Rattus norvegicus: one gene and its partners. The protein of the gene in region 1 interacts with the protein of each later gene in a biochemical or structural test. Links are inferred from orthologs where the notes say so. Each region holds a gene or a part of one and is shown on either strand. Other genes may lie near its edges.

Evidence for each region.
Region 2: of the proteins of Prkn (region 1) and Sncaip, one has a biochemical effect on the other in vitro, tested with the Homo sapiens proteins (3 studies listed by BioGRID). The link is inferred for Rattus norvegicus from reciprocal best matches to the Homo sapiens genes PRKN and SNCAIP.
Region 3: the proteins of Prkn (region 1) and Atxn3 form a complex in vitro, tested with the Homo sapiens proteins (4 studies listed by BioGRID and IntAct, with this or other methods). The link is inferred for Rattus norvegicus from reciprocal best matches to the Homo sapiens genes PRKN and ATXN3.
Region 4: of the proteins of Prkn (region 1) and Septin5, one has a biochemical effect on the other in vitro, tested with the Homo sapiens proteins (2 studies listed by BioGRID). The link is inferred for Rattus norvegicus from reciprocal best matches to the Homo sapiens genes PRKN and SEPTIN5.

The regions. Positions count from the first base shown.
Region 1 is NC_086019.1:51,233,576-51,241,504, reverse strand, and holds the end of Prkn (E3 ubiquitin-protein ligase parkin), read left to right. Parts: intron 1-3,066; coding exon 3,067-3,179; 3' UTR 3,180-5,095; downstream 5,096-7,929. UniProt on the Homo sapiens protein: Functions within a multiprotein E3 ubiquitin ligase complex, catalyzing the covalent attachment of ubiquitin moieties onto substrate proteins. Substrates include SYT11 and VDAC1.
Region 2 is NC_086036.1:48,402,209-48,409,801, reverse strand, and holds the start of Sncaip (synphilin-1), read right to left. Parts: upstream 4,330-7,593; 5' UTR 4,004-4,329; intron 1-4,003. UniProt on the Homo sapiens protein: Isoform 2 inhibits the ubiquitin ligase activity of SIAH1 and inhibits proteasomal degradation of target proteins. Isoform 2 inhibits autoubiquitination and proteasomal degradation of SIAH1, and thereby increases cellular levels of SIAH.
Region 3 is NC_086024.1:126,868,453-126,876,223, forward strand, and holds the start of Atxn3 (ataxin-3), read right to left. Parts: upstream 4,330-7,771; 5' UTR 4,225-4,329; coding exon 4,201-4,224; exon of another isoform or gene 4,085-4,200; intron 4,051-4,084; exon of another isoform or gene 3,579-4,050; intron 3,552-3,578; exon of another isoform or gene 2,748-3,551; intron 1-2,747. UniProt on the Homo sapiens protein: Deubiquitinating enzyme involved in protein homeostasis maintenance, transcription, cytoskeleton regulation, myogenesis and degradation of misfolded chaperone substrates.
Region 4 is NC_086029.1:95,874,669-95,882,274, reverse strand, and holds the start of Septin5 (septin-5), read right to left. Parts: upstream 4,330-7,606; 5' UTR 4,058-4,329; coding exon 3,977-4,057; intron 3,338-3,976; coding exon 3,241-3,337; intron 3,145-3,240; coding exon 3,058-3,144; intron 2,857-3,057; coding exon 2,733-2,856; intron 2,643-2,732; coding exon 2,508-2,642; intron 2,414-2,507; coding exon 2,296-2,413; intron 2,212-2,295; coding exon 2,110-2,211; intron 1,571-2,109; coding exon 1,474-1,570; intron 1,390-1,473; coding exon 1,254-1,389; intron 1,068-1,253; coding exon 965-1,067; intron 848-964; coding exon 791-847; 3' UTR 1-790. UniProt on the Homo sapiens protein: Filament-forming cytoskeletal GTPase. May play a role in cytokinesis. May play a role in platelet secretion.

The sequences.
Region 1 (7,929 bases):
CTAAAAAGAACTGTTATCAACTTTGTGCTAGCTGATATCATACAGACCAAAAGGCCAGTTTTTTATTTACATATCAATTCAGTTATTTATTCTGGGTTCCCTCTTGACCATCCCAGGAATAAGCATTCCACGAGGAATCAGTATCCCATGACCGTAGCCCCTTGACCCTTAGGAAGAGACAGCAAGCACAAGCACAAACAATAAGCTAGCTGGGTGGCACCAGGACCGGGAATTACGATTCCGACTATGCTGGGTCTAAATTTGCCCTATCCCAGGATGACCTTGAACTCAGGAATCTACCTGCATTTGTATCTGCCTGTCTTTGTATCTTTCTCACAAGCCGGCTCATAGTGTAGCTGCCTCTATCCCTTTAGATCTCTGAAGCTCCTTATACAAATCATATTGCATCCTTATATTTTTGCATAGTTGAGACATTATATATTTTCAAGCTCATGTATTTAGAGTTCTTTTTCACAGTCTTAAGGGCTGCCTTGAAGGTCCCAGTGTTTACCATTCTACTAAGACATTAGCCACACCTTCACCTCCCTCATGCTGTCTCTGAGTATCATGGAGTCATTGATGTCAACAGGGAGAACATTTCTCAGAGGAACTTGAAAATATGTGCATTATTATTCAAACAAGCCTGATGCCCACAGCAGCCATGGATACTCATGGAGGCTCAAACCCTGCTGACCCTGTCCCAGGGGCAGCAGCCATGTCGTTCCACCCCTACTAAAGCCATGCAGGACTCTGCAAAGACAGCAGATAAAAGCTCTCCCTACTTCTCCTCCTCACCCACAGTGAACACTGCTTTCTACAATGTTAGTGCTTTGAGAGATGAGTTAACAATGTTTGTGTTTTGGATGTGTGAGGAATGAGAGAAAAACAAACAATTCTCACTCACATAGTATAACTTGTAAGTTCAGCAAGTCTTCACGTCCAGCCTAATATCCTATAAGAGATTTTAGAGAAATTTAAACAATGTGTCATAGTCATACTCCTCTAATGCATTCTGTACATGCTGAGACACAGCTATTAATCTGTGCTGAAAATGGCCCTGTCTTTGATGGCAGGTATTTTTAAATATTTTCCTCTATTTTTCACACACCTAGAATCTTTTAGGATCCTTCAAGCAAACCAAAACCAGGTGGAAAATAGGGGGCTTTTAAACATCCTATCCCAAGACAAGTGCCTATGGGCCCAGAAATAGTTGAGATTAGGTGTTGGCTCTCATGCGAGCTTTCTATTAATAAAAGTTTGACAGTCCTAAGGCAACTACTTGGATGCCTTGGCAAGAAAAAAAAACTATGCCAACAAGAGAACTGGTAAAAGCTAGCAGAACCCATTTAGAGTCGAGTTGAGCAGCACTTGAGCAGAGACTTGCTTTGCTTGGATTTCAAAGAGTTCTCTGCCGTCAACTTCACGGTCCCCATGCCTCTCCTGGGGCACTGGGTGTCTGAGGCCAGAAACCGACAGCAACCGAAGGGAAGGGGCAAGCTCAAAGGAGGTCTCTTGATAAGGGGCTCACCATTGGCTGTGGACAAGACAGCCCCTGTCTCAAGAGGAACACTGGGTGTCTCAGCTCTTCCTCCTGACCCAGCTTCTTCACCTTGAGACACTTCTCCAGCAGAGTGATGTTCCAACCTCAGCATCCTCAAGCTGTAATATAAGACACATAGAGCACATATCTTACACAAACTTCCTTTCTCATTTTTTTGTTTTCTTCCTGTTTTTTTTGTTTTGTTTTGTTTTTTAACTTTTTAAGACAAGGTTCCATGTAAGCTAGGGTGACCTGAAACACACCCTGTGGCCGAGTATGATCTTGAATACTTGACCCTCCTGCCGCCAGCCTCCTGAGTTTCAGGGGGGTGGGGGGTGGCCACATGTGTGCATCACCATGCCTGGTTTATACAGTGCTGAGGACCAAACCTAGTGCTCCACGTATGTTGTTGTAAAAATATAAAAAATTAAAAAGGTATGGTTTCTTTTACCCCGTTAAGTCCAGCACCACAGTGCCCCAAGATATCTGCTAAATATCTTGTCAGAAACACATCCCAACTCCACGGCGACCCAGTGTCTCCTGCCACCGCACACTTTCCTATGCTCAAACTGTCACATAAAAGAACACACAACACAATAATCTTTGACCCAATTGGTAAGATATAACTGCCCACCTAAACACACAAAGCCCAGTACCATCCATCCCTTAAGAACATTGATAACAACCTGTAATGGTACAGAGTGGAATCTTAACGTCGCCCACCATATTGTCCTGCCACAGCTTCTCTCTCTCCCTCTCCTCTCCTCTCCTTTCCGTTCCAGTCTCCTCCTCTTCCTTCAAACTTCTCTCCCATCCTTCCTTCCGTCTCCTCCAATGACAGGCCTCTTTCTATCCTGTACCTGCCCCTCACCTGTATTCTACAAATTCAATGGGGAGAAGGTTCTGGTGAAGTCACCTGAGTCCTGAGTTCGAGACTAAGCAGCTGTCCTTGGGGCAGTGGAATTAGCATCAAAATACAGATCACTCCAGGGCAAACCACGCGAATGCTAAGCAAGCACTCGACCAGCTGAGCCCTCTGAGTACCACTAAGGAACATATTCTCTATTAAAAGTAGTATAAGGTCCCCACTCCTGTTGATAAATTTTGTTGAGCCAAGTAACATAGAATAAATATGTAAAAAAATAAATAGATATGAAAATAAATAGATACATGTGTTATATACCATTACTAAATTTTTAATATGAATTCAAAATCATGAGTTTATTATCGTTATATTTTTTAAATGAAGAATCAGCAGTCCATAAAACATGTACGATTTGTGTCTAAATGCATGGCGGGAAAGAAGAGAAACGCAGATGTGCAAATGGGATTTGTTCCATCTCTCCAGAGTGTCCCACTCAGGAGTCGCCTCCCCTGCTGTCTGGTTGTTTGCTCTGGTTCAGTCTCTCTACCCTTGTTGCTCAGGGTTGTTTCCTACAAGAGTTGTTTCTGGAATGACACATTGGCATTGTGAACAAGGGGTGTTTGTTACAAACCCACATGGTCTGTGTCCTTTGTCCCCACAGGAGGATGTATGCACATGAAGTGTCCTCAGCCCCAGTGCAAGCTGGAGTGGTGTTGGAACTGCGGCTGTGAGTGGAACCGAGCCTGCATGGGTGATCACTGGTTTGACGTGTAGAGAGGGATGTCACTTGGCAATGGCCGCACGACCTCATGGGAAACACCTCAGACTCCTACCTTTGTTAGCCATTTCTTCTTCTCTGTGCATATAAGCGCGCGCACGCACACACACACACACACACACACACACACACACACACACACACACACACACACTCACACACACACACACTGCAGATTACAGAAGCAGTCTCTAGGTCCTTTCCAGGGTACCCACAGAAAACTGCAGCACCTGCTGGCCCCAACGGGAGGAGGCACTTTGAGCCTCTGACTCATGCATATGTCAGAGCTGGGATGAGAGTTGGCACCCTTGTTTTGAATTCTCATCCTAGCGAGAATTTGGGTTCTCATGGCCGGGAGTTTTCCAGACTTAACCTCCTGCCTTCTGCTTCACTAAATCCATGTAGAAGCCACGGGTGAGGTGGGAAGTGCTTTCCAAGGCTGTTGCCACGCCCTGAGTGAGTTATACTTCTGTGGATTCTCAGACGCACACTGGAGATCTGAGGAATGCTGTTCTTACGTAGCAATCATCTATTCCCAGAGGGCCCTCGGCACTAGCCAAAAATATTTGTTTATTCCCCCAAATCCTATCATTGTAAATGGTGCTGATGAGATTACAAGCCCACTGTATACTAATCAGCTTATCAGCCAAGTGAGAGCCTAGGAAAGTTAATTGGAACACAGACTGTTTAAATCACAGGGAGGGCACAGTAGCCAGACCTACTTCCATTCGTTTAATTATCTACAACTTTAGAAAGAAATGATTTATTTCCCTGAAAATAGTACAAAGTTTGAAGTATTCCTATTGCAGCCTGGAAGTTGAACTCATGCCTCTGGCTTCACCGTGAACTTAGCAGGAAAAGTGCCTGTCAAGGGGGCATTTTTAGAGACAATCCCATGATGCTGTTCTAACAGGGTCAAGCAACAGATGTTTAGCAACAGGGTCAAGAAACAGAATGTTTACAAAAGGAACATTTCTAGACCATCTACATGAGAACATGCCTGACCCCTCCGCCAGAAGTGGGGACACCTCTGCATATCTGCTCCCTCCTTAGCTGTTAAGCCCCAGGGAGCCCCATGCACCCAGTGTGCACCCAGTGGTCTTACAGATGGCCAGTTGCACAGGTCAATAAACACACACTGGAATAGCCTTTGGATAAATATACATCACACTCGAATGTTAATCTTTCAAGGTTTTCTTTTCTTTTTCCTGTTTTTTTTTTAATTTGTTTTGCTTTTGCATTTTTTGGGTGTCGAGGGGCTACCAGACCTGAGTCCTGGCGCTAAAAATCATACAGAAATGGTGGGATTGGTATCTTGTTGTGTGAGGAAAGGCCAGCTGGCCTAAGTTCACACTTGTGGTCCAGTGGCCCAAGATTCATCCCAGCCAGATCCTAAATGAATGTCATACATGTAGCCAAAAAAAAAAAATCTGTCATGTAGCACTCAGGAATCTGATGTCACCCATCACTACTTCTTTTGCCTGCCTCTGCCTCCTGCCACACCCATATGCCGTACTGGCATGGGGAAGCCAGGACAATGTTTGCTGTTCTGTTTTGGGTAAAGGGACTCACTGAAGCTCCATGGCTCTCTGGTATGGTCCCTTTTCCTTTCTTGAGATTGCATATGTTTTCTTCAGAATACAACAGTGATTCTTAAAATAACTCAAATGAAAGACACCCATAGTGTGCGAGCATGAATCACAGCCTGCACTGTGTGAGCATGAATAGTGGGATAAAAAGTGGATGTCAAAAGAGTGGAAATCAAACCTCTGAAAAGCTCTTTCTCTCTGTGAAATGTGTTAAGAAATACCTGAAGTCTGTGTCTGTGGTGGTACCCAGACTGTCAATCAATAAGTACCCAGACTGTCAATCAATAAGTACCCAGACTGTCAATAAAAGAATCCGAAGAGTGTTTGAGTCTATCCTTGGGGATGCATTTCTGATAAATTTTGGAGATGTGGGAGGGAACTTTGGCCACATTCCTCTGTGACCTCTCATATGTTTTTATAGAAGGAGCATGTCTAGACCACCTCAAAGAGAACTTGGAAACATCGCCCACTGGGGGGAATGGCCTCTTTTCTATCCATGATTAACTTTGGGGTTCTGTTCTCTTAACTATCAAAGTTTCAAATCAAGCTCTCATTCTGAAACCTAACAGTTACTTTCTTGCCTTGCTCACAGACTTGCCCAGATAAGTGTTGACAAAAGAAACTGGAGATGGAGAGTCTGGAGAGATGACCAGGAGGTTAAGAGCACTTACTGCTTTTGCAGAGGACCTGAGTTCAGCTCCCAAGCACCCAGCCAGTAGCTTGCAACTACCCATAACTCCCATTCAAGGGAATCTGATTCCCTCTTCTGATCTCCACAGGCTCCTTCAGGCACATGGTGCACATATATGTACTTGGGCAGGTGGGTTCAGGAGCGCACATGTGCGTGTGTGCACGCATGCGCGCGCGCACACACACACACACACACATGCATACATGATAGGTAGATAGATAGATAGACAGACAGACATATAGATATTTTGAAGAAATACAGGAAGAAGTTTGGATGCAGGGAGATGGCCTAATCCAGTAATGTGGTCACAATAAGAGTATAAGGACAGGGACTGGAGAGATGGCTCAGTGGTTACGAGCACTGACTGCTCTTCCAGAGGTCCTGAGCTCAAATCCCAGCAACCACATGGTAGCTCACAACTATCTGTAATAAGATCTGTTGCCCTCTTCTGGTGTGTCTGAAGACAGCGACCATGTACTTATATATAATAAAAAAATTTTTTTAAAAAAAGAGAGTCTTCTAGAACCCCCCCCCCAAAAAGAGACAGACATCTTAATACACACCTTCAATCCTGGCACTGTGAGACAGAGATGGGGGATCCCGGGGCTCACTGACCAGCATCACTGACTTGATGAACACCAGGTTCCGTGAGAGACCGTGCCTCAAAAACAAAACAACAAAAAAGAAAAGAGAGAGACGGGTAGACAGGCAAATAGACAGACAGACAGAGTGAGCTTAGAGTACAATAGAAAACTCATCATCAACCTCTGGCCTCCTCATGCATGTGCATCCACGCATCGTGCACATCAAAACTAACGCATCAAGATTGTGTTGTGGTGACCTCATGCTGCTCTGTGTGTTTACTGGGCACATTTCCTCGTTGTTGTTGGCAAAAGCAACTTAAGGAAGGAAGCATTCATTTTGGTTCACTGTTCGAAGAGTGATGGCTGTGGGATGATGTCATCATGCAGGAATAGGCAGGTACAAGATAGAACGAGGCCTGTCATTGGACAAGAAGGAAGGATGGGTAGGGGGAAAAAGTTTGAGGGAAGACAAGAAGACAGGAATGGAAAGGTCAAGGGAGGAGAAGAAGGCGAAGAAGCCACCTAGAGAGAACATGGAGGCTGATGTTAAGATTCCACACTGTATCTTTACAGGTTGTTATGACTGTTCTTAAGGGATGGATGTGTACAGGGCTTGGTATGTTTAGGTGGGCAAGTATATCTTACCAATTGGATCAGAGGTTATTGTGTTGTGTGTTCTTTCTTGTGTTGAATTAGAGTATGTGGTGGCTGGGACACTAAGCCACCACGGAATTGGGATGCGTGCTTCTGGCAAGATATCTTCCAGATATCTTGGGGCACTGCAGTACTGGACCTAGCGGGGTAAAAGACAGCCCCAAATTTCATTTTACAACAACAGATGGTTGACAATGATGACAGTCAACTGTACAGGACTTAGTACCACCTAGGCTCGTCCCTGTCAGTACGATTCTAGATCGGGTTAAGGGAGAAGAGGCACCTAATTGTGGGCAGAACCTTCCGTGGCCAGAGAAAGTGAGCTGAATTCTTGGTTCTGAATTTCAAATGCAAGAATGACTCAGATGACACTTTAGAAGAGATGCTTTGTAGTATCAAGTTACTTAGTGAAGTTTATACCTAAGTTGTTCTTTTATTATAAAAATAATTGTTGTGTTTTTGTGTTCGTCATATTTAATTCTTTTTCATCTTATTTTTACTTAGTGCCAGGCCAATGACAGGGTTCAGTGGTTAGAGGTGCTTGCCACCAAACCTGATAACCTGAATTCAATCCCAAGAACCCACATGGTGAAAGAAGAGAACTGACTCCCAAAAGTTATCCCGTGACCTCCACACATACACCATGGGACACATACACAAAATTAATTTTTGAAATGCAAGTTACTTATTCGATGAGAATGCCCCCAGATTTCATCATGATGTCCCTATATCACATGTGAGGATCGACCCATGATTCTTTTTAAACATCTAGATCCAATGTAACTATCTAAACATAACACAGTGTGGATCTAGAAACTGTTGTGGAACAAGGAAATTGGTTTACAATAGGACTGGAGCTGGAGCTCAATAGAACAGCACCTGCCTAGCACGCACAGGGCCTGAGGTCCCTTCCCAGCACCACACACCAAGAGGAAACAAAGGACCAAACAAGTTTACAATGGAACCTAACAGGAAAGGCATTTACAAAAGCGCTGGCTCGCAGATTGCCACTGTGGAGGAAGAAGGAGAAAGAAGACAGAGAAAACAGGAGGTCTGTTTTCAACCCAAGCATGATGAAGAAACTCCCAAGGTCTTGGAAATGGTATTTTTAAAACTTATTTAATATTAGCTATTAATATGACCTGGCCAGCCACCCAATAATCGAGAGAGAGTCCTATGGATTTTTCAAAATCATTTTTCAAAATTGTGTGTGTGTCCAGCACAATTA
Region 2 (7,593 bases), on another chromosome or scaffold:
CCGGGCTATCTATAAACGAGCTTGATGAAGCAGCAATTTGAATTAATCTTTAGGAGAAAGAACAGAACATGTTTAAAAACCCATTCCTTCCTAGCAAAATGTCCTCTAGCTAACAGTTGTGAAGGGATCCTGATGAGGCATTCTAATGGCCTGCCTTTTCTCTCTCTGCTCTCCATGAGAAAACCAGACTATACTGTGGATTTAACTTTTGACATTGCACCTATGGCTCACCTAAATATACCTTCCTTGTTGCTTCCTGCCTCACTGCCCCGTGCCTAGGCCCGACTCAGTTTTCAAGCATTCCTCAGCAGTGGGCATCTGTACCACCCTTGTCTACCTCCAGTGTAACTGGCCGTGCTCTTGAGGATACACATCCTATGTCAAGCCACCTTGGGCAGGCTGATAAGCAGTGCCCCTGGTTCAGGAACATTCATGCTGCCCCGGCTAGGCCAAAGGGGCCTGCTAGGCTCAACCTAAATAAGGAACATTGCTCCACATACCTTGAATCGTTATTTCCCTCCTGAACAAGTCCTTCTAACTTCCGTTTAACCTCTTAAGGTAACCGGGGATATCATAGTTGGTTTTCTGGTGCCTTCTTTACCCTAAGAAACTTTTCTATACACAGTAGTCAGTGAGATACAAACATAAGCAATAGCTAATACTGTGTGCTCTGTAGCTTATAACAATTTTGCCTTCACTCTGCCTCCTCTAATAAGCCTTTCTGGGATTGAGTTTTTCTCTCCCCCCACATAAATCACTTACTAATGTCCCCATGTCTCATAAGCGCACAATCCTCTGTCAGTCACTTAAACTCTTTTAAATCTCAGGGTGATTTTGACTCTCTGCTTTCACCACCTCTATTATCAGTCACCTAATCCTAAATCCGGAGTCTCCCAGAACACGGAGCAGTGGGCACTTCTCATCTTACGTGCCCAGCGGTCCGTAAGCACTCAAGATCAACGTTTCCGTATTTCATGACTTTGTTCTCAGCAGAATGCTCCCTCTATAATAAAGTGTTCTCAAAGGTCTCATAGGTGTATTTAAAAAAACAAAACAAAACTATTTTTGTAATTCCCTCCCATCTCAGGTGTTTCCTTTCTAAACCCCTTCAAATCTGGGGTGACCTTAGAATTTGATAAGCCAGTGGCAAAATAGCTAACATGACATGATCAGGCACTCAACACTTGCTTCTGCTGTGTGGTTACTCCTTTGCTACTCCTTCCATTGTTCTCTGAATAGAGATTGGGTACTGAGTGAGGAGACCCAGGCTAGCCTGCTAAAGAGAGCTTCCTCTCCTAGTCCACCCATGCACTTGGATAATAGCCTGACAACAGCCAGACAAGTAGTCAAGGCTATCCTAGACCCAAGGTCCTCCTCTCAGCTGAGTGACGATGTCACCTACAGGAACCTTCATTGGATTAGCAGAGCCCAGTCCAAACTGCTCACCAAAAGAACCATGATCTTTAGCCCTTTTAAGCAACTACATTATAGAATGACTTAATAACAAGTCAATCGGTAACTGATAAAATGTTTACTTTCTCCAAATTCTTTCATGGTTATTATTTAGTTTTGGGGGAACTCAATTCTGACATGTCTTGTTTCATGTTCTGCAGCATTATTTAAAATTTTAGGTATCCTATTCTCTGATTTTAATTCCCGTATGAAGAGATCATGCTGTGTGTATGTTGTGGTGTGTGTGTGTGTGTGTGTGTGTGTGTGTGTGTGTGTGAGAGAGAGAGAGAGAGAGAGAGAGAGAGAGAGAGAGACTTTGTTTTCTTTATGTGCGTGCATCTCAGTGAGTGGATTCCACATGTGTGCAAGCACTGAAGCCAGAAGAGGGCCCTGGAATATTCAGTAGCTGGAGTTGGAGAAGTTGGAAGTCACCTGACAAGGGTACTCTTAACCCATAAGCCATCTCTCTGGCCCATGCAGTCTATACTTTTATATTCTACATATTCACACACACACAATAACTAAGAGTCAAGTCAGACTTTTGAATATGTTCAGCCATCAATGAGCAATTACTCTTTTGGTCCTTTAATTTTGATTCAGATCTTTTTTTTTTCCTTGAGACAAGCTGTCTTGAAAATCACTAAGGATACCAGATGACCCTTGACCTTGTAGCTGTCCTCCTGACCTCTACCTGTCACTAGGTCCAGCTTTGATCATTAATTTTAGAGGTTTAATAGAAGAATTAAGTTGCCAAGCATAAAATATGAAGTCTGTTATCTAACTAGAAAATAATGCAGTTTATAGCTAAGAGACCAAATTATGTATTCATTTCAGGGAATGTTACTCTGCAAGTGAATTTGCATATAAGTCAAAGAGCAAAAGTAAACAAGTATATACAGGTCTCTGTTTCACAGAAGCAACTATTTGATTTTCACCACATATTATTTGTCTCGGAAGACCCATAGTTCTCCTATGGGATTTGCATCTGTAACCTGAAAGCTTGCCAAAAAACAGACTTTTTCTCTAAGAGTGTCACCGATCCTCTTGTGGCTCTTCAATTAGATTTTGCATTTAAAAGAGAAAGTCCCTTGTGCTGCTTCTAATGATGCACCTGCTACTTGGGAGATTTCTTCTTTTCACAAGAAACAAGTTAAATCTGGCAAGAAACATGGCTCCAGGCTCTCTCTGATAGTATCAAAGAGCATTTGTATGTTTCAGATGTTTTCTGTGGGTTTCCCTCCTAAGCACAGTGAAGTGTCTCCAAGTCCTTCCCAAACAACAATGCTGGCGATGGTTTTGGCTTCTATTCTCTGTTTGCACTGTACACCTGCACTGAACAGCTGTTTGGACTCAGCAAAGCTGTGACGTGGCACTCAGCAATCCACGGGCTTTAGTCACTTCCTTTCAGACATGGACAAACAGAACATATCGAATTAATGAATGGAATCCCCATTTCAGATGTACTGTCCTGTAAACTCTCTTCACAAACCGCTTAGGGACAATAACAGTTACATTCAAAATGATAAAACCTCTTTATAAACCTCCCCTTTAACGGCATTACTAACATTAGTGATGTTCTATGACCCTTAAGAGAAGCACCATCATTTGCTTTCTGATTCTAGACCTGGAAACGCATGTTATTTGATTAGAGACAATACCTAGCTAATGCTCCTTTAGAAAGAGACCTCTGTGATCAGTCCCCAAATGTCACGCATTCTTCTATTAGTTGAAAGGACAGTTTAAAGGTGTCTCCCAGCATTTTGCTATGCAGGAAGTAATTTAATATCCAGTCACATCAGAATCAGACACTGCCTCCCAGGTGTGCACACATTAGCATACGGGGCCTTCCTACATCTTGCTCTCTTGACTTTTGAATTTTTCAGTATGTACAAACGAAGTACAGATTTGAACGTATTCCCAACGGAGATGTCTGCTTCATAACGAGAAAGAGGTTTTTGCCTGCTTGCAGATTCAGCGCCGAAATGATGCCTGACCATAACGTGTTTAGAGTTGACACCTCGGAGAACTGACGTCTGTGCAAATGTAATCCCCATAAACCTCCCCAGATAGTCCTTATTTCATTTTGCAAACTGTACCCTGGCAGGGCTCCACAGCACGTGGTGTGTGGCGAGACTGTGTTGCGCCGCTCTTTCTTCCTAGGGGCTCTTTGATGGACACTGTCAGTAACAACCATGAGGAGCGGCGCCCCACCTCAAGCAAGTGAAAAAAAAAAAAAGGGCACAGACAGCAATGCTGCCGTAATTAACTTTCCCAAGGAAAGCAATGTTCTCGCAGGAAAAAACAACGTTTCCACCCTCCTAGCGGCTAGTTGGAAATGAGCAACAATGCAGTTGCCTTTTTGTCTCCTGAAGACTTTCTTTGCTGCAAGCAGTAGCGTGTTCCTCAAAGAATGCTAGTATTTCCTGTGGAAACTGTATGGCTGCCAGAACTGGCTCAGAATATTTCCCCCTTTCTTTTCGTAAAAAAAAAAAATGAAATAAACAAAACGTGGCATTTGACAATAGCCAACGTTGGCTTCATCCCCACTTACCACCTGCAAAGGAAAGTCACCGCCACTGAGAGGGTCAGGAAAGAAGCCTTCCCCAGGACGTGGATAATCCCGGGACGCCGGACAGCGCCGGGAGGAGGAGCTGAAGCTGGACGGGGCAGCCTAGGCGCCGCGGGGCTGATGGGCCAGGGGCTCCCTTCGGGTAGCGACACCACCCGGCATCCCCTTCACGTTTGTTATTGTTCTGGTTACTAGTGTAGCTATCACCAAGCCTTTGCCCCTCCCTGGGAGCTCTTAGGAGCCTCGGCACAGCCCATCCCCGCCTCCGGGACGATCCGAGGTAGCAGCAAGCAGAACGCCAGCTAGCGCAAGGGCCAATGAAAAGAACCATCCCCCTGCACCAGAGCCTAGGACTGGGAGGCGGGAGTGACTTGGGTTCCCCGGGGTGAAGCTGCCTGGGTTACCACAGCGATCCCCTCTTGTGGCTCTCTGCAGCGGCACCGCGCGGCTCCGGGCAGAAGGGACCTGAGGCACAAAGGGGGCCCCCCGGGGTCCCGAGAACCCGCAGGGTGTCGCCCGGTGCAAAGTTGCACGGGCTCAGCCTCGCCTGCTCGCGTCCCTCTCTTCCCTGCGGCGTCTGCGGGAGGACCTGGACTCACCGGAGCGGGAAGGGCGGCGGGAGGGATGGACGGACAGACGGCGAGAGCGGCGGGCGCAGGAGACCCCGGCGGGCGGCGGAGGCGCTGCCGCGGCCCCGCTACGTCACAATGCGGCCCGGCGGCCGGCGCCGCACCCCGGGCCCCCCAACGGGCGCGCGCGGGCGGGGACACCCGGGGCAGCGGGACGTTGAGATCAGGGACGCGACCACCAGGCAGGACCGACAGCGACCGTCCCCTTGATCCACAGCCCAGCCCACGCCCCTCGCTAGCAGCCGCCTTCCCCCAGTATCCCGGACCAGCGAACCTGCTGCTTCTGCTTACCTCGCGCGTTCACCTCCGCCGCCTTGGCTCTTTCCCGCAGGCTCTCTTCCCTCCTCCCCTCCCACTTTTGGCCCCCTCTTCCCACTTTCTTCCCCCGCCTCCCCTCTGGCTTTGCTGCCTCTCCTCCCCCCCCCCCCACCCTCCGTCCCCCGCGCGCTCTTTCCTCCTTGGAAATGATATCTCCCCTCACCACGATCCATGAATCAACCGCTGCCACCTCATTGGTCCCCAAACCATTCCAAGGTTCCAGCATAAAACCGGGAAATGAGAAAAGGAAGGTGGACACGGTCCTGGGAAACTGTCTTGTCTGAGGAGCGTTTTGGCGAGAGTGCTATGCCTTGGCACTGCGTCTTCAACCCCCAACGTTCCCCTCTCCAAGTCTCGCCCACCCTGGAAGACTTAGCCAAGGAGTAAAGGGGCAGGGTTGGGTTTTTTGTTTTGTTTTGTTTTTGTTTATTTGTTTGTTTGTTTGTTTTTATTTTTTGTTTTTTCTTTTTTGTTTTTTTTTTGTTTGTTTTTTTAACCCAGAATGTTTTGTGCTCCTGGGTGGGTGGCGCTAGAGATTTGGGTCTGAAATGACAGTTGGTTAATTCAGCCGTGTACCCTGGACCCTGTGATGATAGTAACTTTACTCCTAGCACACCTTATGGAGGACGCACAGTAATGCCTGCAGCGGAGGGTGAGCACCTCTTTCCTATTTCTGAAACAAAATACAGGAAGAACAGAAGCACCCATAGCAACCTTGGCTCTCTGTTGCCCTCTTGGAAAGCTTTAAATAGCTTTGGACAAATTTCTGTTCCAGGATTGGGAAAGGATTTGAAGAGTGTTAAAGGAAAGCCATCGTGGGTTACATTCTTGTTCCAGGACATGGCCGCTTGCTTGAGGTTGTCCAAATGAGAGTGCGAAGGAAAGACTGAGTTCCCGTCAAATTAGGGTTCATCTTGCTCCTCTTTCAGCCAGTTCTCAAAGGTGAGAAGGGCTCTGAGATCCAGGGAAACCCAGTACTACCTAGGTGCTGGCAGTGGGATGCGTGCCAGCGTGTCACAGAAAAGACACTGCCAGTAAGAGAGAAGGGCCTGGGTGTTTTAAAGCTAGGTTTCTGTGAGTGATTAAGAGTGAAGCTGGAAGTCATTCTTAGGAGACACATATGTCTATTTTAGGATTAAAGATAATCAGAGTAATCCTTGTCCTGCACACAACTGGGTTCCTACCTCTAAGGCCTGCCATAAATGTCACCCCTAGAAATGACATCCTTGGACGTGATCAGAAGACAGCTCCATATGATTTAATCCTCTTCCCTACTCTTAGATGTCTTCCCCAGGTTTTGACTAAAGAGCGAAGCATATGATCACACAACTCTGCCATGTGTTTACTGTAACTTATCATGGCTAAGTACTGCACGGAAAGTGGCTTCACAATTTTTAAAAATACATATCCTCTGGTAGAAAATATGAAATCGGATGACATCATACGCCACTAAAAATACTTTAGAATATTGGTTTTAATTTTCTCACATCTGGTTAGAATAAAACTTCTTTTTTCCTGGTGTAAACTCTGAGGAAAGCACATCTTGCTTCGATCCAGTAGATATGGATAGAATGGGTGTTTTCTCTCTGACGTGGAGCTAGACAGAGTAGAAACGTCGATGCCTGCCTTCTTGACTTCACTGAATCCTTTGGGGGGGAAAAGATTCAGATTTGAATTTATTGAAGTCAATAAATGTTGAAAGATAGGTATCCCCCTTCTGGTTGCCCTGGACACCCTACAGTTCTTGTACTGATCCAAGTGTTTACATGATTCAGTGAGAGGCTGGATTTTGTTGTATGTACCAAAAATGGATTGCCTGGGGTGAAGAGGGTTTCCTGGCCTCAGCAACCAGCATGCAGCAGCACAAGGCAGAAATCTTTGTGATGTTTCATCAGTTATTTCCCCTATTTTATTTTTTATAGTTCTTTTGTTACTTTTTTTTCTGTTCCCAATATGTTTTTGATTACATACTTACCATTGTTTCCATGTGATTGTTTTTACGCTGTGATTTAAATCTAGGCTTGTATACACTTTCCCACATAGACCTCGTGTTTGCTTTTGTTTGGACTGTTTGCTGGTTTGCTTCTCCTCTGCAAATCCGTGCCAAATCCCGACCACAAATGGATACACCAAAGTGTGGCAGTAATGAAGTAGTTCAGTTCAAACAGCTGTTAGATTTTTAGATTGGATGGCAAGAACGACAGCTTCCTCAGCATCACGTTGACTTCTTTTTAGCCAAATGAACCAGCTAATGCCTCATCTTTCTGATTGCTCATTACCGACATCCAGTCTCTGGTAGTCCAGTTCCTAATAAAACCGCCTGTTGTGTGGAGTTCTGAAAGAGTGCCTGAGCTAGCCACAGCCAAGAGACCATTTACCTCTCTCACCATAGCCCCTACCTATGCTCGCCATGCTATCTGCTGTGCTCCTCTTAGTGACCATATTTTTGCCTCTTGTCCATTTCTTATCCCTACCATTCAACTGTCAGTTCCTGTGGCAATGACGACAAGCTCCCATTATTCACATTTGGGTCCTCAGCACTGAGCACATTTTTATACTCAGAGTTAGCTACTGAAAATAATTAGTGAAGAAGTGCGTTCCACTGTAGATCATCTGCCAAAGAGC
Region 3 (7,771 bases), on another chromosome or scaffold:
AGTGAAGGTACAGGATGCAGCAGGTGAGTGCTCGGACCCTGGGTCCGCTGAAGAGCAGCAGTCAGTGCTCACAATCACTGAGCCATCTCTAGCTCCTGGTCACCATATTTAACATACAGAAATAGTGGCATCAACTTTTTGAAAGAACATTCTTGCTATTAAAAATTGGGATTTAGGGCTGGAGAGATGGCTCAGCGGTTAAGAGCACTGACTGCTCTTCCAGAGGTCCTGAGTGCAATTCCCAGCAACCACATGGTGGCTCACAACCATCTGTAATAAGATCTGATGCCCTCTTCTGGTGTGTCTGAAGACAGCTACAGTGTACTCACATACATAAAATAAATCTTTTAAAAAAATTGGGATTTGGAGGCTGGAGAAATGGCTCAGGAGTTAAGAACACTTGATATTCTTACAAACGACCTGGGTTTGGTTCCTGCATTAACGACCTGCTAATGATTGCAGTCCTAAAGGACCTGGTACCCTCTCCTGGCTTTCTCAGGCACTGTATGTGCACAGTGCATTTTGATTCATGAAGTCACTCATACACATAAAAATAATTACATCTTAAAAAAAACTGATCTCATTGTTCCCAGTTCATGTGTTATTGGGGATAGATAAAACTCATGCTTAATTCATGCTACGATTTGGGAGTCGGTATTTTACCATGTTGGGCTCAGAAGATGAACATACTACACTTCCACTCTTCCAAGCTTGTCTACAAAATCACAAAGGGCAAGCCTGCTTGCCTCTGCCTCCTAAGTGCTAGAATTAAAGGCATGTGTTACCACGCCTGGCTGATAACTGCTTTTTTACTCTAACTTAATAGTACTCAAAGGGGTTAAGTAAAATTAATTCCAAGAGGAAGTGGTTGATGTCTTCTCTAGTTAACTTCCTGGTTAAAGGCAAATTATGGAAGGGAAAAGAAGTCTCTGGAAAATAGCAGTTGTGCTAAATATTCCCAGTATGGCCTCTTCCATGATTAATAACCCAGTTACAGGAGCATTCTCTTGAAATATGTTCCGACTTCATTAAGCATTCACTTGCTACAAATATTTCAGTTGATGATAAAGGCAGATGTACTCTCCAGGATTGGGGAGATGCCTCAGTCAGAAAGGTACTTGCCATGCTAGCCTTAGGATCTGAGTTTAATCCCCAGACCTCATTTAAAAAGTCATGCATAGTGGTACCCATTTGTAACTACAGTGCTAGAGAGGTGAAAATGGGCAGATACATGGAGGTCATAAGTTAGCCTACTTATAAGTAACACCACCAAGGTTGTCCTCCTGCCTCTAAATGCATATGGACATGTGCATCTCCATACACATACATACATACATACATACATACATACATACATACACACACACACACAGAAGTAAAGGTATTTCTCAAGTATTTATGAAGTATATACACCTGCTGATATGAATGACTTCTGGGTAAGCAGATGTATGTATCTGCACATGCGTGTTTGTATATGTGTTCTCATGTCTATGTGTACACACAGATATACATACGTGTGCCAAAGGTCCAAGTCAAATGCCTTCCTCAGTTGCGCTCCACCTTATTTTGTGAGATAGTCTTTCACTGAGCCTAGAACTCACTGATTTCAGCTAGACTGGCTGGTCAGCAACCAGAAACCCACCTGGCTCGGTTCCCTGCCTCAAGTACTGGGGATACAAACACACACTGGGATCTGAACTCTGGTTTTCATGCTTACACAGCAAGCACTATTCAGGTGAGGCATATCCTTGGCCTGAGTAAGTCTTTGTTAGCCTAGCATTTTGGATATACTGATTCAGTAGTTACCTTCACTGAAATCTGCTCAAATGAGGAACAATCAATATTGTCAAGAAGGTATTGAGGGGGGTTGGGGATTTAGCTCAGTGGTAGAGTGCTTGCCTAGCAAGTGCATGGCCCTGGTTCGGTCCCCAGCTCCAAAAAAAAAAAGAAAAAAGAAAAAGAAAAAGAAAAAAAAAAAAAAAGAAGGTATTGAGGGAGATGGAGAGGTGGCTCAGCAGTTAAGAGTACAGGCTGGCTTTCCAGATGACCTCGGTTCAACTCCTAACACCCACACAGCTACTCACAAGCCTGTTACTCCAGTTCCAGGGAATCTTCTGGCTTTAGTGGGCAACAGACACACAGTGCACAGACATACACAACAGTAAACACCAATACAATTTTTTTGTTTGTTTTCCATGACAGTTTCTCTGTATAGAGCTGGCTGTTCTAAAACTCTCTCTGTAGACTAGGCTGGCCTTGAACTCACTAGAGATTCCCCTGCCTCTACCTTCCAAGTGTGAGGTTAAAGGCCTACCACCCCTGCCAGCAAAAAAATACATATTTTTTAGTGTATTGTTTAAGAGCCCTATGCTGAGCTTCAATCCCAGGATGGTAGGTGGCAGAGGTACCTATTTAACATATCAAAGCGGACCTGAACTCCAGGTTCTCCCAGCATCCCTTAGTCCCTACTTATACCAGGGTATAGCTGGTATACCTACTCTCTACCCTGAACTCTCCAGACCATGGCCTAGCTGCCCTTCCCCTAGTGGTCCTTGCCTATGTAATTCATGTATTTTGGTAACCCAACCTCTTTGGTATACTTCTGCACCTTTGGCTCCTGGCTGCTGTATTTCCTTTCCCTCTCCCCATGTGGTTCAGGGTCATGACAACTCTGGGGTCTCCCAAATGTGTCTGCCCCAGGCTATGCTCTCCCACATCTCTTTAATAAACTTTCTCCTTCACCATACCTAGAAGTCATGTCCTTTCCATTTCTTCCTTCATTCACCCTAAAGATGACCCAGAGAGTAAAGGAGCTTGCTGCCAAAGCCTCAGACACCTGGAATCCACACCAAGTTGGAAAGAGAGGACAGACTTTATCAAGTCATCCTTGACCTCCACACAAGCACATGCATTTTTCTTTTAAGAATACATGGCAGGAGTCTCACAAAACAGTGTATAAAGTATAACATGTTTAAAATGGATTTTATCCCAAAGAGTATAACATGTTTAAAATGGACTTTATCCCAAAGCCTTTGGAAAATTACAAAAGAGTGGGGGAGGGGGTGGCGCACTCAGAGTCAGGGCACATGGTCATAATCCCAGCCAGCACTCAGGAGGCAGAGACAGTAGGATGGAGAGTTTGGGGCCAGCTTGGGCTACAAGAAATCTTGTCACAAACTAACTTGTTCCAGTTCCAAAAACACTATGAAAGGTCTTCTTAAGAACACTTTCATTTAACAACTTCCTTAGATTTACAGCATTTTTGTCTTTCTTTTGTCGTGCATGGACTTTAAACGTTGTGAATGAATGCTCCTTTACAAATGATAAAAACAAAGGCCTTTGCTCCAACTGTAATAATAGTCTCAACTAGCAACCCTCTCCAAACCTAAAATGATTATGAAACACGGAATCATGCCAAAGTTGTCCGAGGAACACCCAAATGACTTGATAATTGTATGCGAGCATAGACCAGTTTCTCGAGATGTCACAATACTGTAAAGCGTAGTCACTTAGGAATTAAGGTGAGGAAGAGACTAGCCAAATCACACAGTAGAAAGATTCTAATCTATCCATAATACCTAAAAACAAAGCTGGCCTCCTGGTCCGGAAAAATGGGAGAGCAGCCCAAACATCCCGTAATAAAAACTCTTATGACGACTTCCCTCCGGGATTTCCTACTTTACTTCCCAAGTGTCAGGCCCTTCAATGGGAGAGCCACGGTCACAACTGCAGAAGGACGTGGGATAGATCACCAAGATCTAAATGCATGGGACATTCCATCATAGAACTGAGTTGAGAGAGAAAGTTGGTTCTGCCAGAGGATAGGTCAGGGGGAGTGGGTGGAGTTGGGAAGGGTCCGTCAGGTGTGGAAAGGCGTCTCGCTAGACTAGACCACAGGAGAGAAGATAGAAGAAACCCGAAAAGGCGTGGCAAGTGAACAAGAAACGCCCGCGCTAATCCTCCGGATGAAGCCCCCCGAAATGCCCAGGTTACCCGCCCGGTCTTTTAGGGTGAGGGTGCCGGAGACGCATGCGGGAGGCTTCATGAACGGTGCCATGGGGGGAAGGCAGGAAGCACCCCTCACCCAGCCAAGTCGGGATGGGGGCGCTCGGGCCCCGCCTGAGTTCCTGAAGCGGCGACGCTGCTCCCCACGCCCGCCGCCGAGCCGCGGACGGCTCCCCACCGAACGCCCACACTCACTTTCTCGTGGAAGATGGACTCCATGTTTATTTGTCTGGAGCCAACGGCCCCGGCGCGGAGCAGCCCCCTCCAGCAGCTCCGCCCCCGGCCCCACCCCTCCGCCCCGGCCCGCCCCGCCCTACCCACGTGCCTCCCGCCACCCAATCACTACTGCGGGCGCACGTCACGCGGCACGCGAGCCGGGGAGCACGGGACACGTGACCTGGGCGGCGCTGGTCCTCCCGCCGCGTGTGTGATGCTGCGGCGCCGCCTGCTGTGCGGAGGAACTTCTCTACGCTAGACAATGTTGTGATTCTAGGGTTCTAGATGAGAATCCTCGCAGCCAGGTTTTAGGTTCTTTTTTTTTTCTCCATTTCCACCTTTTTTGGTACTTTCTGCTCAACTACGTGTAATACCTCCTCTCCCACTGAAAACCTCATTCCAAAAAAGGCATTCTCCCAATACCTAGTATTTGTGTGAAAACTATAGCTAGTATTTAGTTAGGGCTGACTTATAATAGTCCACTTCTAAGTGCGATTTAATGCGGCATTTTTGATGTGTGTGTATGTTGTAATATTATTATACAAATGAAGAAATGTAGGCACTAAGAAATTAGAATAGCACAGTGTCCAACACAGTTGCCTGTCGGAATGAGTATCAGGTCCCAGGATAAATGTACAATATCTGAAGGAGGAAGCGTCGATGGGGAAGTGAAAAGTCCAGTAAAATGTTGAGTGGCTCGCGCCGGGGGTGGGGGAGGGATTGACAAAGATTAAGTGTTATTTGGGCGCGGATCTTGTGTGGTGGAACCATTTTAGGTTCTTCAAAGTCAGCAAAGAAACTGGGTACAAAGACTCATTCTCCTAATCCTTGCACCTGAAGGTAGGAGGAGTATGTTGTGTTGGACTGTGGCAGCCTGTAACCAGGGTTTCTAGGACGATCCTGCCCGCCACCTCCCAACCAAAAACAAAACAAAACAAACAAAAAACCTACAGGAGGTTACAGATTTTCAAAACTAGAGACATGGGGTCAAATTAGAATTTTAGAAGATCACTGGGGAACAGAATACTTGAAAGGCATTTTGGGAGAAATGAGGAGACAATGGTGGTCAGAACTCCAGTAGTGATTTGAGAATGGAGAGAGACCAATTTGAAGTTTCAGGAAGCAGACTCAGAAGACTTTGGTGAGGAACTGGGGTGAAAGGGGTTATTGTTAGGAAAGATTTGTGGGTGTCTGCTGTAGGTACCACCTAAAGAAGGAGTAATACTCCAACCAGAAATACTGTGCAGAATGAGCAGGGTCTTGGGAAGGGAAGACAAGGGTTTAATTTGGGGAATAATGAGTTTAAATGTCTGTGCAACATAAGGTACTTTTGTGAGTAATAGATGTCTGGCCTGGAGTTTACAGAAGCTGTTTTGAGCTGTGAGGTGAGATTCATTGCAATTTAGAAGGTAACTGGCTATGAGGTTAAGAGCATTTGCCACTTCTCTTGTAGAGGACCTGGGTTTGATTCTCAGAACCCACATAGAGGCTCACAGAATTTGGTATCTCCAGATTCAGGGGATCTGATGCTTCTGCAACATACCTAGTAGGTACGGTGACACACATACATGCAGGCAGGCAAGCACTTATACACATAAAATATAAAGAAAAAATGTAAAACACAAGGTAACTAAAATCATCAAGACTGAACATAATCTTAGAGAAAAGCAAGAGATTGAAAAGAGGATCAAGAACTAAGCCCTGAAGATAGAGCAGTAGGCAAGAAGGGTGCAAATGCTAATGAACATACTGAACTGCAAGGCCCAGCCAGTGTTACATGCTGCCAGGAAGTCCAGGGGCATAAAGACTCATGAGACCGCTCAGTTTTATGTTGAGATCATTTTTGTGAGACAAGTTCAAGAAAACAAAGGAAGTGAGAGGCAAGAAACTGAAGACTGCCAGTAAAGACCAGCTAGCTAATCAAAGGGGTGCCATATTGTTGAATATTTTGTATGCAATTTCCTCTGGGGATAAAACAAGAAATAGAACTGTCCATATTGGAGGGAAACTCCTTACCACACAGAATATTCTAAAGGGAGATGAAGTCCACCTTGTAACGAAGCTAGTGAGATCATAGAATATTCTAAGGACAGGAAAAACAGTCAGTCTTACAGAAGGGCATCTTAAGCTCAGAAAGTAAACAAGTATGAGACTTCTGGAAGTCCCTGAAACCGACAAGATTCACTAGGCTCCTCCTTCCCCAAGCATATATAAACAGTAGGACTATTGAGAGACACTCTCCAACAAGCAGAGTTGCCTAGAAGAAGCAGAGACCAGCCAAGCTACCTGTAAGGGACACTCCACCCTGAAGAGCTACCTGCAAGTTGTGTAGTGTGATCCATGTTTCCAGCTTTTGTGGGCTGTTGTCATGCTGGAGTGGGTTTTGGTGTCATTTCTGTTCCTGTAAGTAATCTCAATAAGACTCAATTGGTTCACCAAATTGGACTTTAATGGTATCCTTACTTTGGCCTGTTATCAGTTCTCTGAGTAGATGTTTGTTCACAGTTCCCCAGGAACAGTGTCACACAACATGGGAATAGCCCATGTGCTTAAGGAATTGTGGCTTAACCAGGAAAATACAGCCTCCTAATAAGAAAATGAAAACTATGTTTTCTAGTGTTTTTTTTTAAAGATATAATTGTTCAAGTGAGTAAATGAAGCTGGGCTGCTATAAATGTCTGCACTGGGTAAATTACTATCAGAGATTTACTGCTCATTTATGGAGACTAGGGTGTCCAAGGTGAAGGCTAGAGCAGACCAATGTCTTGGGAGGCTTTTTTATTATTATTATTACTGTGCCTTTTGCATGTCTTCATGTGGCAGAAGCGTGAAGAGGACAAGCTCCCTTCAGCCTCCTTTATAAGGACACACTTATTTAAAAGGTAACCAAAGGGTTGGAAAGATGACTCCATGGTTAAGAGCATGTGGTTCTCTTCTAGAGGAAAGCTCTACTCTTATGACCAGGACACATTCATATCCTCTTAATATTAATACACCTTTCAACCTGTAAACTTTGGAGATGACACAATTTAGGTGATAGCACTAAAGCTGGAGACTCACTTGTGATTCCCTTCCTGTAACTGTTACACTTTGTTCTTCCCTTCAGTCTATATACTGTGTATCTGTCTCCCACACCCTCTCCCCTTGTTATATTGCCACTGCTAAGTTCAAACCATATGGACTCTTGTGTAGTCCCGTCCCCAGAACTATGAATTGATTCCACCTTAATATGTCCAGTTCATGGCATTGGCAGTGTCTTTTCGAAAATATAAATCTCGCCAACTTTTCTTTTATTGAGAAAATGCCTCCATAAGATCCAGCTGTAAGGCATTTTCTGAATTAGTGATCAAAGGTGGGAGGGCCCGTTGTGGGTGGGAGGGCCCATTGTGGGTGGTGCTATCCCTGGACTGGTAGTCCTGGGTTTTATAAGAAAGCAAGCTGAGCGAGCCAGGAGAAGCAAGCCATACCATCATGCCTCTGCCTCTGCATCAGCTCCTGCTTCCTACCCTGCTTGAGTTCCAGTCCTGACTTCCTTTGGTGATGAACAGCA
Region 4 (7,606 bases), on another chromosome or scaffold:
TGGAACCCCTGCGGAACAGAGCTGCTGGGAAGAAAAGACCTTGACCTATGGGTGGATGAAAGTAGTCATAGGGGACGTAGGGGACACCCCGTTCCTGCCGCCCCTGGAGTCCTTTAGGTAGACCCAGAAGGGGCGCGAGCGGTCTAGCGCATCGCGGCCCCGCCTTCCTCCCAGAAGCCTTCAGGTCTGGGGTCTTCCTAAGGGCCTCAGCCTCCAAAGCCCGCCAGCTCTGGTCCTGAACAGAGCATGATTTGGAGTAAGGGAGGAACCGGCCTACTTCCACGCTCAGTAGGACATTAGCATATGTTTCATAGCCCACTGTAACCAGCAGAGCAGGGCCTCCCAACTCCATCAGCGGCACTAGCTTGGGTAACAGGCCCAAGATTCTGCATCCACGTCCCTCCTCTACCCTGGTTTATTGGCCCGCTGCGGGCAGCGATCTTCTTGGAAGGGAGATCTTGGAGGTTATGCACAACTTGTTCCCTTAAGACAGGCGGGGAGGTGTGGGGTGGGATGGGGCATGAGTTGAGGAGGGACTGTGGTTCAGATACAAATAAATGACCGGGAAGGGTGGATGCTGAGAATAAATTAGGGTCATCTGGGGGCTGTGGCTCTGTGGCTCTAGGTCTGAATAGTCTGGTCAAAGCCACTTTGGATTAGGGTTAGGTCCAGGCCTTCTGAGATCCAGATAAACCCAGGGTGGAATCCAGGACAGTCTAGGATCCAGGGGTAGGAGGGGCCAGCCTGGAAACTGGCTGTCTATCCTTGGCGATGTGGACCGGGGCGGCTGTCACTGGTCCTGCATTTGCTGCTTCATCTTCTGCAACATCTCCTGCATGCGCCTCAGCTGGTGGTGGGGGCGACCCAAGTCAGAGTGAGAAAAGACAGTCGAGGTCTAGCCCTGCCCTCTGCTTCTCCTCCCCGCCCTTTGGCAGTCTTGGCCCCACTCCTGATTTCCACCCACCTCTTCATCCTTCATCCTGATGAGCTTCTCGGTCTCCGAATCTGGTGTGGGCAGTGGGAGGATAGGGATGGGGCTCTCCATGCGGCTGTCCTGCGTGAGTTTGCTGTGGAACGAGAGGGCCGTGCTTGTTGGGAGGTTCGGGTTAGGAGGGTGGGAGATGCCTGGCCCACTCCTACCAATGTCAAGACTGCTGGGCTGATTTAGGGACTGGAACTAAAGTTCAGGACAGGGAGGCCTTCTGTGGCACCAGGCTGGGGTGGGAGAGTCGGCTCTGGTGAGGGTGGCCCACCTGGTCATCTGCTGGATGCAGTGAGCACGGTAGTTCTCATAGTGCACATCGCACGTCACGTCTTTGAGGTCGTGCATGTGCGTGCGGATCAGCATGTTGCGTAGCTTCACGAAATCGCAGTGCGCCTGATTCTCCACTGCGGGCAGAAGCCGGCAGTGAGTAGGTGTCAGCCTACGGGAGCCTCCCACCCCTCACCCAGTGCCTCCTGCCTCTGTCTCACCTTCGACGATCCCCCAGGGGTACAGTCGCCCCCGGACCCGCTGCCCCTTGGCCTCCACCACAGTGTTGCTGCCGATAACGGCGAAGGGAGCACTTTCCTGGGGAAGGGAGCAAGGACCCAGCCCAGCCTAGTCTGTAAGAGCAGCTGGCTCAGAGGCTCAGGCCATTCCGGCACTGGCACCTTCCCCTCCCATGGCATGGCCCCTCTTCTGGTGTCTTTGCTACCCACTGAAGTCACAAAGCCTAAATAGCTCAAAGCCTTGGGGCATCTGCCAGGCTGTGCACTTCTCTGACACTGGATGCTTCCTGGGACTCCCTCCACCATCAGAGTCAAGACCATGCTTACTGGTAGATGGCTTTGCCCATCTACTTCTGGCCCAATGGCCCCAGTTCCGGGCTTAGCTCTCTGTCATAACCTCTCTGGCCTCTGGGGTATCCAAGGCCACCATCTTGGGTACTAGAGCTTGACACATCTCTGGGCTACTGGGCTGATTCTTGGAAAGCAGGTCAGAATGGTACCGATTCCTGCTCTCATGGTGTGCACCTGGGTGCTCAGCCCTCCCCCAGGGCCGTGTGGCCTCCAATGCCCTGCCCCAGCTACCTCCTTGCCCCCCACGCCTCCTGGCTACGCGCTCACCTTCAGTTCCCGGTCCTGCTGCTTGAAGTCTTCATCTTCATCTGAGTCACATTCTGGAAACTGGTACACGTGGATCCCAAACTTGTCGATCTCCTCTCGTATCTGCAGCAGGAGAGAGCTTTCGCTTGGCACTGGCCCGCTCCCCTGGAGGTTTTGGCCAGGCCCCTTGGGCTGTAGGAGACTCACCCTGTCCTTCAGCTTCCGGATCTCACTGGGAACCAGGCAGTCGGCTTTGGCGATGAGTGGAACGATGTTCACCTTCTCGTGCAGCGCCTTCATGAAGCCTACGTCCACTGGCCTCAATCTGCAGAGGGGGTAGGAGAGGCACTGTTGGGGGAGGGGCAGTGATGCAGTGGTGGGAACATCCACCCGATCCAGGGCACCTGACGGCCACACACCCATGTCCGAAGGGGGAGATGAAGTAGAGGCAGCAGTGCACCCGGTTGTCCTGGATGTTCTTGCGGTTGAGGCCGCTTTCATCACGGAAATACTGTTCAAACTGCTGGTCTACATAGTCAGTGATGGGCTTCCAGCTAGAGGGAGAAGGGAGCTGGCTCTGGCAGCTGCCGGCTAGGTGGCGGCAGGCAGTCGGGGCAGGGGGACCTGTTCAGAGCTGTCCTCACCACTCGAAGTTGTTCACTGCATCCCCAAAGCCGGGCGTGTCCACGATGGTGAGCTTCAGCTTGACTCCCTTCTCCTCGATGTCAACAGTGTGTTTCAGGATCTCTACTGTCTGGTTGATGCGTTCTGCAGAGGAAGGAGAGGGAGTGTTTGCAGGACAGCTCCACCTTTTTCTCTGGGCAGCAAGGAGCCTCGTCCTTACCCACCCTGGTGTCCCGGCCTCAGTCTCTGTCTGACTGTGTGTTCTGGGCCACTCCTCCTCACCACCAATGGGGACCCTTCCCTCGGAGGGAGCAGATTGGTGAGGGCTATATGAAGACTACTCACCCTCAGCACTCAGCAGTTTCCGGTCCTTGTACAGGTCAGTCAGGAAGAGACTGTGGACAAGGGTAGACTTCCCCAGGCCGGACTCACCTGGCCATAGGAACAGTGATAGAGCTGGATTAGATTGGGGCTGAGATGGTCTGACCCACGGCCTCATGGGCTCTACCTAGAAGTTTGGCCACTCACCGGCTACCATGAGTGTGAAGTCGAAACCCTTCTTGACTGACTTGCGGTGCACCTGGTTGGGCAGTGTAGCGAAGCCAACGTACTGCTTGTCGATGTCCTGAGGGCGGGGGTGGTTGGGGCAGATCAGTGGCATATCCTAGATCTTCAGTGGAAGCCTTATCTTTTATGTTGCTCAGAGGAGCAGAAAACATAGCCCCTAGCTAGGGGCATTTCATCAACAACAACAAAAAAAATGGGGTGAGGGCTGAAGGGCAGAGGCCGGAAGGTAGTGGAGGAAGTGGCAGGGAAAGGCCCCCCCACCCCACCCTCAGCAGAAACCCAAGACTTGGGTGGGGAATGAGGAATAATGTCAGCCCCACAGGGCATCCCCTGAGGTGGGTGTTGGGACCCACTGAGACCTCTCAGACACATTCAAGGACCTCTATCGGTGGAAATAGCCAGACCTCAGCACAAACTCATCCCCGGAATACCCAAGGGTGGGTGGCTTGTCTGGCCCAGATCCAAGCCTGGGGGTGGTGGTTCCTGAAGCAGCATCGGAGCGAGGGCTATTTATAGACTGCGGTACTGAGCCTCCCACACCAAAGGGTCTGCGCTGCCTGCACTTATCCCTAGTGGACATCTGCCCCAGGAGCCCCTGCCACCTACAGCAGTAGCCAGAGGGTCTTGGCCAAGCAAGACTGCACACATGACCCAGATTCCACCCTCTCTTTCCACGCACACACACAGACACACACACCTTGAGCCGCCTCTGGGCCTGGGTGCGCGGCGACAGCAGCTGCTCCACCAGGCGGTCCTGGGGTGCTGCCAGTGAGTCCATCGCGGCGACCCCGCAGACCCTGACGGCCTCGTTCCGACCCTACACCAGGGTCAGGCCAGTCGAGGCCAGCGATCTCGAGCGACTCGCGCTGGGTAAATTTGCTCTTAAGCCCTCTTCTGCCTCAGGTTTTGAAGACGCGAGAACTGAAGCCCGGAGGGGGAGCGTCGCCCACCCGGTAGGCCGCTGACCTCAGAAGTCTTGCGAGCCATTCCCTTGCCTTTGCCCGGGAGCCGCGAGCCGTGGCCGCGTCGAGGCTCAGCAGGCGCTCCAGTGCGAGCCCGAGGCGGGGCTTCGTGGGCCCACGGCAGCAGCGGAGGGGACCGCCCCGCCCGTCGTCGCCGGGAAACGGTCGCCTGGAAATTGGGCCGCAGGCGGAGCCTCGAGAAAACGGCTGCCATGGGCAGGGCCCGGCAGAGGCGCGAGGGAGGGGGCGCCGCGTGGATCCGGAGCGCAGCCGTGGCACCCGAGGCCGCGTCCGGACCGTCCGTAGGCGGCCGGCGAGGTGTCTGCGGTCGCGGAACTGCCTCCGGGACGCCGCGCCGCTACTGCCCACCAGAGGGCGCTAAGGAACGCTCCGGACTCACGCACAGCCGCGGGGGAAGCGGCCCCAGTCAACACCCAACACCTCGCTCTCCGAGCACTTCACCCGAAAACCTGAACCGTGCCTTGGTGACCAAACTGCCGACAGACACACCCCTCCCTGCTCCTTGGGGCTCACTCTTTCCTACACCGCACCCTCCACGGGCGCTTGCACTGGTGATTGGGGGACTTCTTTCCCTATTGGTATCTTCTAAAGCGCTAAGGACAGAGTGCACCTCCCTTACTAAGCCTTGCCATGGACCCGGGGAACAAGCAGAGCGGCTCAGGTCTATAATCCCAGAACTTGAGACGCAGAGGCAGGCGGATGTCTCTGAGTTTTAGGCCAGCATGGTCTATGTAGCAAGGTCCAGGACAGCCAGGGCTAGCTACATAGTGAGACTTTATGGGGTTGGGGATTTAGCTCAGTGGTAGAGCACTTGCCTAGCAAGCACAAGGCCCTGGGTTCCGTCCCCAGCTCCGGGGGGAGGGGAGGGGGGAGGAAAAGGAAAAAAAAAAGGAAAAAACAAAAAGAGACTTTATCTCTAAAAACAAACAAAAGGGTGTGAAGGATGCAGTGGCCAGAGTTCAGATGACTGGCCTCCTTCAGAGCTTGGAAGCTCTGGCCAGCCCACAGCTAGGCAAAACTTCTGCCCACAGCATGCCATCACTTTAGGTACCAGATGTTTAAGGAACCACAGGGTTCTGATGAATTGGGAAGCCATTGGCTGTGAGCCACCAAACTTTTCCTTACTCCTCACTTCCAACCCCACCAGAATCAGAGCTCCAGCCCCTGGGTGCAAGAAACTAGACAAGTCACTGTGCAGACTGGGCAAAGGACCAGAAGGCCTCCCTCCCCTATGCAGGTACCACCCTTCCTCCATGAAGCCTCACCTTCTTGGCTTCTTGGAGGGGCCTCCACCCTGGGTCTTGCTAGGGGGTCCCCCTGAGGGCGACTAACACCTGGGGAGGAGCCTGAGCCCCACAGTTACAACAGGAGAGCCATTCTTCCCAGGGCTGAGAAGAAGCCTCCCAGTTCTTGCTGGTTTCTGTCTGACCTGCCTAACCTAACAGAAGTCTTTAGACTGGGTTGCAACCCACCACCCCTAACCCAATCACTCTAAGCACAGCTGTCAGCCCAGCATCCACCTGGACAGGTTGGTATCTCCAGCCTAGGTAGGGCACCTCTGGAAGACCACACAGGGGCCTCAGCTGGGTCAAGCCCTGGTGCTGAACAGACCCTGTAGGTCTTAGACTACCTTTCAACTTGTTCATTGGAAAGGCACATGTTTAGGGGAAGTCCCAGTCAAACAGCCTGTCTGAGTATCACCCAAGCAGGCCACCATAGCCTGTCTAGTCCCTGGGGAAGCCCTAATGGAGGGGCCTTGCACTCCCTTTTTCTAGTCCTGGAGGCTCTACAAATATTCCTCAGGGATATGAAGCCATACGCAGCTCTACCCACCTCTACCCGAGAATGAGACCATTGAAGCTTTCAATCCTTAGAATTATGACTAGGCTCTGAAGCACAAGCAACCAAGCCCTAATCACTGCCCAAGAAGAGGTACGGATGCAAAGGGCAGACAAACAGACACCTTCTTCTACACAGACTGCTGCTCTAATCCCCTCCCCCATTTAGCGTCAGAAAGAGGCCTGGCTAAGCCCAGCTCTGTGCAGCCATATTGGGAACCAAGGTATTATGAGCTGCTCCCCCAGGCCCACAGGGTCCCAGCTTGGACACCAGAACTCTAGCGCTTTCCTGGGGCTCCCTCCACCTGCCCTGACCCAGTGTTCTCTTCCTTCTGGCCTGGGGATAAGGGGTGGTGTAAGGCTGGCTCCTGACTGGCCTGAGGATGGGCAGATGCAGGCCTGAAGGAAGGGGAGGGGTCTCCATTCTAGCAGCAACAGACAGGAGAACGTGGATGATGTTAAGCAAGGACCCAGGCCAGGTGATGTGGAAGACCTTCAGGGCCCAGGAGAAGCCTAGGTCCCTGCCTTCCCAGCCTCTGGCCCCCTCCCTCACACAATAGCCAGGCAGCTGTGTCCCCATCGGCTTTGTCTGGCTTACTGAGGATGGGGAGGCGGTTCTCTAGGAAGGCTCCTGGGAGAGCCCCTCCCGGCAAGCCTCATCAGTCTTGGGCGGGGCCTGTCCCTGCCGGGAGACTGACTTCTCCAGCTCATCCCATCAGCCAGCTGCTTTTGCTCTGCCTGATCTAGTACTGCTCTGGTCTAGTACTCTGGGGTCTAATGCTAGGTGTGAACGTGCATCCCCAGGGAGGCTTGCCAAAGCCTTCTGGTGTCAGAATCTGGCCTTTTCCCCTATCTTCAAACGGGGCCTAGCTCGAGGCACACAGGACATCCCCCTCGGTCACTCACTTCCGCAGCACTCTGGTTTCACAACCCTCCTTTGGATGTTCACAGGTTACCCAGGCCAGTTTCACAGTAGCCTGGCACTTTCACGGGGGTGGGGATCAGGCTAGTCCTTTGGAAGGCCACAAGCCTGGCTGTACCCGAGGATTGGAGGGCTAGTGCTGAGTTCCTAAGGATGACTCAGATGGGGAGCCTTGGAAGTTCCAGGTCTTGGAAAAGCCTCTGCCAAAGACTAGCGAGGATAAATTTGGGTTCAGGAAAGAGACACAAAGGTGCATGAGCATGGAGAGGAGTAAGCAGAGGCCCCTGTGGATTCCTCAGGGTGGTAGACCCCTTCCCCTCTCCCCGTTCCTGGTCTTTCGTAACTAAAGCCTCACCCAGGACCCCCAAACACGAGGCCTTCCGGTCAGGTTAAGAAGGAGATGCTGTCCCTGGACTAGAGGAGAGAGGCCCTCATCCCAGCCTCGCTTTCTGGGGTGGTGCCTAGGCCCCTGCTATACAGGTCAGGGAACCAAGCGCGGTGCCTACTCTTCCCCTCCGTAGCCCCAGGAGCGGCGGCGCTGCCCCTACAGACAATCGATTAACGCCAAAGGGCTGGGTGACGGC